Linked DNA regions of Caenorhabditis elegans. The protein of the gene in region 1 interacts with the protein of each later gene in a biochemical or structural test. Each region holds a gene or a part of one and is shown in the gene's direction. Other genes may lie near its edges.

Region 1 (5,550 bases):
TCGTGAAAAAATTTCGTTAAAAAAATTTTCAGAGGAAAAGGCCTAAACATTTTTGAAAATGAATAAGTTACTTTTAACTAAAACTTTGCATATACTTTCATTTATCAGCTTTACTTTAGTGGAGAGAAAAATAGAACTTTGGAGTATTTTTCCATTTTTAAAAAACTACGCATATTTTTTTCTTTGATGAGTAATATTCTTGCATAAACCTTATGTATAACAAAATTTTCAACTACAAAAATGTGAAAAATAAAAATTTAATTATTTCAGCTCTTGACAAAAGTTTTGTCAAACAAGTAGTTTTAGAGTTACAGGCGAAAATCTGGAAAAAGGGTGTTTATTGAAACTTGGACTTAGCTTGTTTCAACTGACTGTAACTTAGCAGCGGGCACAGATAGGAAATAGTGGTAAACTGATAAAATGTAGTAATTGATGTGCTTATTAATGTTGTAATTGATTACTTTTTTGTATCTTGCACGTTCCGGAAGTTAGCGCCCTTCAAACTTTAAAAAGTCATTTTTGCAAGCATTTTTGGCCATTTTAAGGAGTGTAGCGCCACCAAAAAGATACGCATGGGGCGTCAACTGCAGATTTTTATTCAACTGACTGTCTAATACATCAGGGCATATAAAGTTTTTCATTTCGCCGAAAAATAAAAAAAAATCGAAAAAAAAATTTTTTTTTCGTCATCACAGTTCTGAGATTTAAAATATCTGGGAGTAGTCCGATATGGCTGATATTGTTGGGCTTATCATTACTAACAGTCTTCTATATAACCACAAAAAAATATCTAAGAAAAAATCAAAGATGAGAAAAAGCGACAAAACTTATTGACTGACCTAATAGGTTAATTTATGGGTTTTCTTGAGAGTTATGAGCTAAGACTTGCATGGCATATGTTTTTCGCTGTTTTGAATCATTTACAGATATTTTTTCCACTTTTCAGAAGAAAAAATTTTTTTTTGAAATTTTTGAAATTTTTTTAAAAAGGTGGTCTAGCCACTTTCAAAACGTCATAACTTTGCTGAACCTGGACCGGGGCAGCTAAATTTCTTGGAGAGATCATCATTTTCACTCTTTTATCGAAAAATTACTATGGCATGTCAAAGTCCGGGGTTCAGTTTTTCGACTTCCCTTGTAAGCATTGAATTTAGAGGGGAATCCTTAAAATTTCTGATCCAAATCCATGAGTTAGCCATTTCAGATCCTTGACTAACCATCACTTCCTGACTTTTTTTCCTGCTCACTTACCACCAGTTCCCCTGTCTCCACCAGAGCACATCACCGATCGCGACATGATTGTACACACAGGTAGCTCTCAAGAGAGCTTACCCGCGATTTGCCAGGATACTCTCCCAAATCTCTCTCATGTTTCCATGATCTTTTTGCGCAGTTTGCGGGATGAGAAAAGAAAGCTAACATACACTGTACGCCCACCGAAACTCGAGATCCGCCTCCCCACTACCACTTGTTGGAATTCATTGGGGTGGGCAAACTTTGAAGACACTATGTAACACTTGCTCTTCTTCCCCTTGCTTCCAATTTATGTTTCATTTCCTAACTTTTGATTTTTTACATTTTTTCAGGGGTTTTTTTTACAACCAATTCACCAATCAACATGTCTGACGAGGAATAGTGAGTTGAAATTTAAAAAATGTTATATTTCAAGTTTTAAAATTCCAGCTCCGAGTACGAGGATGAGGAGGTAGAAGAGGAGGAAGTCGAGGAGGTCGAGGAGGCTGAAGCCGAAGAGGAGGAGGACACCGAGCAGCAAGAGGAAGAAAGGTTCAAGCGAGCTTCTGTCGACACCACGGCAACCGGTGGTCCAGCAACACCGGCTGCTTCTTCGCACGCTCCTGTCTCTTTCGAGTACTTCTTTTTTTCAATTCTTTCCTATCTTATAGTAAAAACTACTAGGCTTTTCTTATCCAAGACCGCCGTGATCTCTCTAATCAAATCACTAGTACTGTTGAGTGGAAAAACTTTTGAAAAGCCTGCGTCTCCGCGCTCGGCCACACTATTTTCTTCGCACTCAAGCACATACACTTACGGCATCACTGTTTGCACTTTTTTCTTTCTTTTCACAATTCCATTATCCATGCAATATTGGAGTGGGTTAGAGGGTCAGATATTTGGAAATAGTTTACTTTTAAATGAGCAACCGACGAATCGAAGTATCCGATGAGAACACATCTGTATTTTTGTATAAAGTAGGAGCAGCCGACATATTACGGGACCAAAATATCATTAAAATCATGTGAAGTCGGGCATGCACTTTTGTTGACCTTCGAGATGTCGGCTGCAAAGTTTTACTGACTGTCATTATGAAGTATGAGCTGCCGACATTATACGGGATCCGGCAATTTGTAGAAGGCAGCTGGCAAACCTCGGGTTTCTCAATTGTCGGCTGCACACTTTCAATGGCTAGTGTAGGAATAAGAGCAGCCGACATATAACGGAAATCGAGATCTCAATGAGAGAGAGATCTCAATATCCGGAACATTTTATTTTTTCAAAGCCTCATTAAAAAACAATTTGCCCTGAAAAATGTCGGTTGCTATCCTAAATTGAAAAAAATTAATTAATGCCAAATATCTAACCCTATAAAATCACTGAGACACTACTAAATCATCACATTCTGAAAAAATAAATTACCCTAACAATATGCATTTTTCAGCGGAGAAGCTCTAAATGAAGGTGAGAAGGCTATGCTCGCCGCCAAGAGACGTCACGAGAACGACGAACAGGCCAAGTTGGAAGACTACGAGAAGGCTCGTCGCTCCGAACGTGAAAAGGAAGAGGAAGAGTTGGAGAAGCTGAAGGAGAAGCAAGCTCAGCGTAAGCTCGCCAGAGAGCAAGAAGAGCGTGAAGCTGCCGAGCGCAAGCGTCTCGACGAGGAACGTAGACAGAAGGAGGAGCAGGAGCGTCGTGCTCGTGCCGAAGAGGAGAAGAAGAGGAAGGAAGAGGAGAAGCTGAAGAAGGCTCAGATGATGGGTGGAGGATTCCCAGGACAACAGGGTGGAAGAAACTTTGTCATCCAGAAGAAGGAAGAGTCCGCCGGAGTTGGAGATCGTTTCGGAAACATCGTGCAGGCCAAACAAGAGATGGGAATGACCAAAGAACAACAGGAAGAGGCTAAGTCGGTCGCCATGGCCGGTATTCGTAAGTCGATCGCCGAGGCTTCCACCATTCTTCCAAATGATATGAAGGCCAAGATCAAGGAGCTTCATCAAAGAATCTGCAAGTTGGAGGCTCAGAAGTACGATTTGGAGAAGAGACACGAGAGACAGGAGTACGATGTAAGTAGTCTTAGTCTTAGGCTTCGGCTTATGTTTAGGCTTGGCATAGTCTAGGCTTAGGAATAGGGTTAGGATTAGGCATATGCTTGGGCTTAGGCTTGGCGTAAGTGGCGAGCGGTAGCTAGGCTTATTAGGCTTAGGCTTAGGCTATGACTTAGGCCAAAACTTACTGATTGGCTTACTAGGGAACCATCAGAAGGTGCCCATCGGACTTGCATATGAAACCTATGCCATTCGATAGCCTATGTCTTAAAACGGTTACTCGTGAATTTTTAGCTGCGAATCTCCAGAACCAAGTTCACGGCGAGCTCTCAAAGATCCTAAAATAGCACTATAATGAAGCATTGAATGGCCAATATTCCTAATTTACTTTGGTAGCTCATATCTCCGTGGATAATTTTTTTAGAGAAAAGTCATCAACTGATAAGTTGTTGATCTTTTAGTAAAGAACAAATTTGTAGTTGAAAGTTTTCCACCAAAAAAATTCTGTTTCAGATAGAAGCGCGTGAAGTGCGGCAACTGTTGTTACTATTTTATTGCTGCTATTATAATGTTTTTATCTGATACAAAAAATTGTTGGTAAAAACTTTCAACTACAAACTTGTTCTTTACAAAAAGATCAACAACTTATCAGTTGATGACTTTTCTGTAAAAAATTTATCCGCCGAGATATGAGCTACTAAAGATAATTAAGAAAATTTCTTCTTTAGATCGTTACAGTGCTTCGTTACAGTGCTATTTTAGGATCTTTGAGAGCTCGCCGTGAGCTTGGTTCTGGAGATTCGCAGCTAAAAATTCACGAGTAACCGTTTTAAGACATGGGCTATCGAATGGCATAGGTCTTATATGTAAGTCCGATGGGCACCTTCTGATGGTTCCCTAGATAGGCTGCAGCATAGGCAGATTCTTTAACAATTTAACCACTGAAAATACGGAAAGTTTGCAAATTTCAGCTGAAAGAATTGAATGAGCGTTCCCGTCAAGTGGCCCGTGCCAACAACGCCAAGAACGGACAAGTCAGCGGAGACGACACCGGAGGAAGACATCCAGTATGTTCATTAGGATTTTTGGCATTAATAGACAAATTATAATAACTAACAAAATTATTTTCAGCCAAAGGTCCAAATCTCTTCCAAATACGACAGACAAATCGACAGAAGAAACTTCAAGGAGCGCCGTCAGGTTTATGAGAACGTAAGTTAAAACATTTGTTTGAAAATTGAATTGGGGGCTGGTTTTTATCTGAGAATTTACAAAACCCTGATTTTGGAATACCAAAAAAATAGAAAAATTAGAAAATTTAAAATTGGTTAGGTATGTTATATTCCTAATTTTTTGTATTTTCAGCTTACCTAGTTTAATTCAAAATTATTCGATTTGTTACCATGTTTTTTAATTTCCAGAAAATCGCATTCCCATGCTTCCCAGGAGTTGCCCCACCACCGGCATTGTACGAGAAGGTGATCAAGAAAATGGACTACGAGATTCAGCAAGAGCTTGAAGCCGCCGAGGAAGAGGAAGACTATTAAGTCGATAATACCAATAAAAAAACCAAAAAAAAAAATCATTTATCCAAGTAGTTTTTATCTTTTTTTTTTTGCAAATACGTTTAATTGTTGTTCAATTTTTCTCTGAAACTTTCAGAAAAATCCAAAAAAAAACCCTCTCACTTTATGTTCCCATCAAACTTTTCCCAATGTCTAAAGTTAAAAATAAAGTTGAAGCGGAAATATTCTGTTATCATTTCAGTTACTGACCTCAATTAATAAAAGCGGAAAGGCGGGCGAGAACGTGGCACTAGAATGTTATCACTGAAATTGAAATAGTTCTTGTTCTGATGATGATGTTTGTGGCTATTTCGGGTGGCTTCCTGAGGAAAAGATCAAATAAGACCGAAATTATATAATTCGACACTTACAAAAAAACCCATTTTATGAGATTATTTTTTTCTGAAAAATTATATTTTTTTCAATGTTTAAATTTTTGAGAAAATCAATTTATTAATTCACCGCTTCGGAATGTTTGGAATTTTTAGGGGTGTCTTCCCGCTTATTAGCCTAGACCTACCTACCTACATGTCCGGCCATCACCTACTCGTTGCCTGCCAAAGCTTTCTGTATTTACTTTATTAGTAAAGCCTCCAATCTTAATTTTCAAACTCCTTCTTTAATGTAAGTAATATATTTTTTGAAAAATAGTTTCACATAATGATATGTAGAGGAAATATGACAATATTGTATTGCTATTCTAT
Region 2 (4,946 bases), on another chromosome or scaffold:
TCCCATCATAGTAGCATATAGACGCAGAGAAAATAGCCGGATTTCTGTAGCTTTAAAATGGGAAAAGAGAGAGATAGTAATCAAACAAGCTCGCGCACAAAATGACAACTCTTGAGAAGTTTTCCCTTTCTCTCTTTCTATCCCCCAAACCCTATGATTATATCAGACAAAACGTGGGCTATCTTGCGCTACGAGATAGAGGCAAAAGTGCGTGGTAGGCAGAAGGCAGGTGGAGCCATTTGAAAAATGAAAAATATGTTACCGTGGGAACATATACCAACAATTACGGTTTCATCAAGGCGATATAAGTGTTTAAATCTTTCAGCGAAACTTCATTAAAACTTTCCGGACAATCATCTGCTACCCAGTTTTGAATTTTCTTATTAAAATACGGTGCCCAGTCTTACTGAAGTTCCCAAATTATGGAATTTTTTACAAGTCAAGGTTTAAAAATCGAAGAAAAATTGGCAACGACAGGGGTGGGGTCTATAGTACTATTTAAACGCGCAAATTTTTTGAATTCAACAAAATTTGCAATTGTATTTATTAAACATAATCGTATATTTTTTTGATTACTGTGAACAGTGAGAACTGCAAAAAAAATGTATTTGAAACCTTTGGACAACTTATCATATTTTTTACGGAAACTTGTACCTTCAAGTCGTGTTGTAACAAAAAATATTTTTGAGCCTCAAATCATATTTGATTTCAAACTAGTTTCTAATAGTAAGATAAAACTTGTTAGAGAAACTGAATTTATTTTCCGGTATTTTTTTTATTTTCATCATAATTTTAAATCTCCTACAGCAGTTAATGACTTATTGAAGCATTAATTAAAACGAGTACCAAAATTGATTGCCTTCAATTAAAAAAGTAGCAATCTGAAAGCTACAAAGCTCACATGTGAAGCTTTCTATGTTGTCAAAAATTCAGCAGCTGATTGGCGGTAGGCACAGTCATAAGGCAGGCAGGCAGATATTTTTCTGCCTACGTGGAATCAACTGAACATACATTTTACTGGTATAAAAATAACAGGCGATTTCCAATCATGATTCACAGTTCCCATTTTAAGCTTGTTGTTGTCCTGATAGAATTTAAATAATTTACTGTTTCTTCGATAAAATAATAGGAAATTTTTTAAAGCAAGTTAATTTATCATAGTAACGAAGTTATCATTTTGAAATGCTAAAAATTTAGTTTCTTTCAGTAGAAATATTGTCTTGATACTTTTTTTGGTCTGAAAATTTACTTTTCAGTGTCAGGCTTTTTCAGCAAAAACTAGAAGTTTTTCTAGGAACCTTGGAAATTCAAATTTTTTACTATTAGTTTTCAGTTTTAAACAAGCTTATGATTATTATACCCATAAGAAAATAATCATTTGCCTTTAAAAATGTTTCAGTTCTCATAAAATTATCTACTTCTATTCAAGAACCAAAGCAGCAACCATTTTTAATATAATTTTTTCTCACTTCAACTCCAATCCCTTCCATTTTTTTTTCCAACAATTCCCTTGACTGCAACAGACTGAGGATATTCTCAAGCACCCGCTTCTTCCCGTGATGCTCTAAATCTCTCAATAATCCATACTATTTCCATGTTACTGTAACTGAAGAGGAGGTGGTGGGAGGCGCCGGGATCCCCCTTTCGCAAATATCTTCCTCTCGTCTCTTCATTTTCCGTGCTATTTCGAAAACACACTTACCAGGCAATCGGGAAAAGCCGAGCCAATTCAGTTTCTCCGAGCAAATTTCTTGGCATTTTCGCCGTGTCCCCCACACTTTTTCGTTATCTTTTCTTTGTCTCAACCCAACTTTTACCGTTTCACAGCAATCAATGATTCATCTCGTAGATCTTGTTCTGATTGGGATCTTCTTTAAATTACGTATTAAATTATTTCAGGTGATAACCAATAACCATGAGTGACGTTGACGCTGATGAGGTGAGTCGTGGTTTTATTTCATTGCAAAGATAAAAATTGATTTGAATTTGTAAAACACATGAAACAGTAATTTTGTAAACTTTTTGGTAAACCAAAAAAAGTTTCCAGCCTTATCCCCCACATATGGATGCAGAAGTAAGTCTAGACAGTTGAAAATTTTAAGTACAGATTTGGTTTTTTTGTTGGAAATGGTTTTTATTGAGTTATTTTATATTTTTTCTTGAAATCTGAAAGAAAATTTGAGATAGTTTTTACTTGTAAAAATGAAAATATTTCCAGTGTTTTTGGGATAAACCCTTCAATAAACATGAAACTGTTTTAATTCATAAATTAACAACAATCTGAAACTGTAACAGTTTTTGAAATAGAAATGAATTAGTGGGAAACAATGCATTCGTTTACTATAATGTGACTGTAATTTGTGGGCTCGTTGAAACAATATATATATATATATATATATATTTATTCGACTAGTTTGAAAATTGTGAGCTTTGGTATAAAAAATTAGTAAAATTTAAAAAAAACGTGTTTGTGAACAAGCAAGATCTTACTAAGACCTTACTTACTAAGACGAAGCGATTGCTTTGGCGCGACTGTATATGTTCATATTATTTATATAAAAACATAGTGTTTATAGTTAGAAACATTTTTGGTTATAGTTTTTTTGAAACAGTAACTTTAAAATAAATAAAAAATTGTTCACCTTTTTGATGTATAGTGATTGTAAATGATTCATATACTTGTTGAAACTGTTTATAATGTCTTTTACTTAGTTGAAAAGCGAATTACATAAAAGCTGCCGTTACAAGACCCCATAAAGATTTTAAATACTCAGTAAGTATATTTTTAATATTAAGGATTTTTTGTTCTGCAAAATATTTTTGGTTCACCCTTGTCATGTTTCGTCTTCAGTTCAAATATTGAGTTACCGTAACCGCCATATTCCCATTTCCGTACCTCAAATTCACATTTCTAGGCGCGCAAAATGGCGGAGCGCGAGCGCAAGAAGGAAGAGGTGCGTAAGCGTCTCGAGGAGGCCTCAAGAATGAAGAAAGCCAAGAAAGGATTCTTGACACCTGAGAGAAAGAAGAAGCTTCGTAAGCTTTTGATGATGAAGGCCGCCGAAGATTTGAAGCAACAACAAATGTTGAAAGAGCAAGAGAGACAACGTATTCTTCAAGAAAGAATCATTCCACTTCCAGATTTGGATAACGAAGGTAAGTGTTCTGAAGATGAAAACAACTATTTTATGCTACTTTTGGATATCAGTAAAATGCAATTATGTATGAAAATATAGAACAAAACACTTAATTTAGTAATTAAAGAACATTTTGCTAGGATGTCAATACCTCTCCAAAATACGTTTGGTTAAATAGAAAATACGAAACAGTAAAATTTTTAAATAAAAACTTGAATTTTTTAAATCTAATAGACTACTTTAAAAAGTGTTAAAACTCTGTAAAAACTTCATAATTCCGGGCGGTTACCTACATGAGTTTTATCTTTATTAAATTTTCCAGATGACCTCGAGGCAGTCTACGATGAAATCCGCGAGAGACTCATCGATCTTGAGTCTGAAAACTATGACGTCAGCTACATCGTTCGTCAAAAGGATTTCGAGATCAACGAGTTGACCATTGCTGTCAACGATCTTCGCGGAAAATTGTTCGTTTTTTATATTTTTTGAGTTTTTGGGGGTATTCATTTTAACCACATAATTATTGGATGGCACTGAGAAAATACTTTTCGCCATTTTTGATATTACTATCTTGAAACGGGAAATTTTTTCAAATGGAAATAGGAAAATTAATTACGAAAATGACACCAAATCAAAAAATATTGATATTGTAGAAAATTTTGAGAACTGTTAGCTTCACCAATTTCGGGTCCTGACACGAACGCAAACTTTTCAGCTACAGTACACGGGAGTATACAGTTCATTTTTAGCTTCATAGAGCGAATGTTCATATGATACCCAGATGCGAAAATTTACAATTTTTAACGCAAAATACATATCAATCCCGGTCTCGACAGGACCGAATGTTGAAACGGCAAAAAATTAAAGTTTCATCCAAAAAATAAAAATTTAAAATTTCCAGCGTGAAGCCAACCCTGAAGAAGGTGTCCAAGACCGAGGGAAAATTCGACAAGCTTAAGAAGAAGGAAGCCACCAAAGTCGATTTCCGTGCTCAACTCAAGGTTGTCGACAAGAACGAATTCGCACTCGATGAGGAAGACACTGAGAAGAAGGAGAAAGCCGCGTGGGCTAAGTAATTTCCAATAAAATCATTGAAAATTTCGGATAACTGGCACCCCCTGGAAACGTCTCGTCAAATTCAACTCGATCAATCCCTTCCCATCCTAAAAAATTCTCCTTCTTTATAAAAATTTCACCTTCGCATATCCATCGCCCTATCCATTTGCTTTCTTGTTCCTGTATTTTTTGTCTAAAAATTGTGCTCTGAAACAACAAGAATAAATCAAAAAACAATATATTATACAAAAAAATCGGGATGAATAGTTCATAAAAATTGATTGATGTAGATCTAGAGATTGAACCGTGGTTTTTTTCTTGAAATTTTAACAGGGAAATGGCATGTGTGGGGATTTTACAATAATTATTAGAAAATACATTTTTAAATTAAAACTCCATATCGGGAACTTCAATAGCTTGATCTTCTCTCATTCGTTCTTGTTCCAGCCTGATCAACTCTTGCCATTGTCGCTTCATTTCCAGATACTTTTTCAACGAAAAAACTTGAATCGTCTCGAAAAATCTTCGAACCTGGCCTCCTGGAATGTACTTGGCAAGTTTTCGGCACATTTTCTTCCTCTTCCTCCGCCGATTCTTCTTCTTCTTGACAAGTTCTGGTTTCTCAATACCTTCCTCCTTTTTTGTTGGCGGTTTTTTCTTCTTCGGTTTTTCTTTTTTCGACTTTTTCTTCCTCTTGTTTCGTGATCGCTCAATATTGATGTGGTATGGAATTGGATTTTGTAGACTTTCGGA

The links. Proteins that work in one complex are often made in the same cells at the same time.
Region 2: the proteins of tnt-4 (region 1) and tni-4 interact in far-western blotting, tested with the Caenorhabditis elegans proteins (one study listed by BioGRID).

Annotation. Positions count from the first base shown.
Region 1 is NC_003283.11:1,988,955-1,994,504, reverse strand, and holds tnt-4 (Troponin T, skeletal muscle), read left to right. Parts: upstream 1-1,591; 5' UTR 1,592-1,618; coding exon 1,619-1,635; intron 1,636-1,683; coding exon 1,684-1,869; intron 1,870-2,677; coding exon 2,678-3,299; intron 3,300-4,252; coding exon 4,253-4,348; intron 4,349-4,412; coding exon 4,413-4,493; intron 4,494-4,702; coding exon 4,703-4,828; 3' UTR 4,829-5,030; downstream 5,031-5,550.
Region 2 is NC_003282.8:5,202,692-5,207,637, forward strand, and holds tni-4 (Troponin I 4), read left to right. Parts: upstream 1-1,899; 5' UTR 1,900-1,915; coding exon 1,916-1,939; exon of another isoform or gene 1,940-1,960; intron 1,961-2,223; exon of another isoform or gene 2,224-2,244; intron 2,245-2,311; exon of another isoform or gene 2,312-2,332; intron 2,333-2,882; exon of another isoform or gene 2,883-2,903; intron 2,904-2,915; coding exon 2,916-3,156; intron 3,157-3,263; exon of another isoform or gene 3,264-3,285; intron 3,286-3,459; coding exon 3,460-3,604; intron 3,605-3,649; exon of another isoform or gene 3,650-3,670; intron 3,671-4,038; coding exon 4,039-4,213; 3' UTR 4,214-4,433; downstream 4,434-4,946. Other genes in the region: Y59E9AL.36 (RRM domain-containing protein), read right to left, coding at 4,581-4,946. UniProt on the Caenorhabditis elegans protein: Troponin I is the inhibitory subunit of troponin, the thin filament regulatory complex which confers calcium-sensitivity to muscle actomyosin ATPase activity.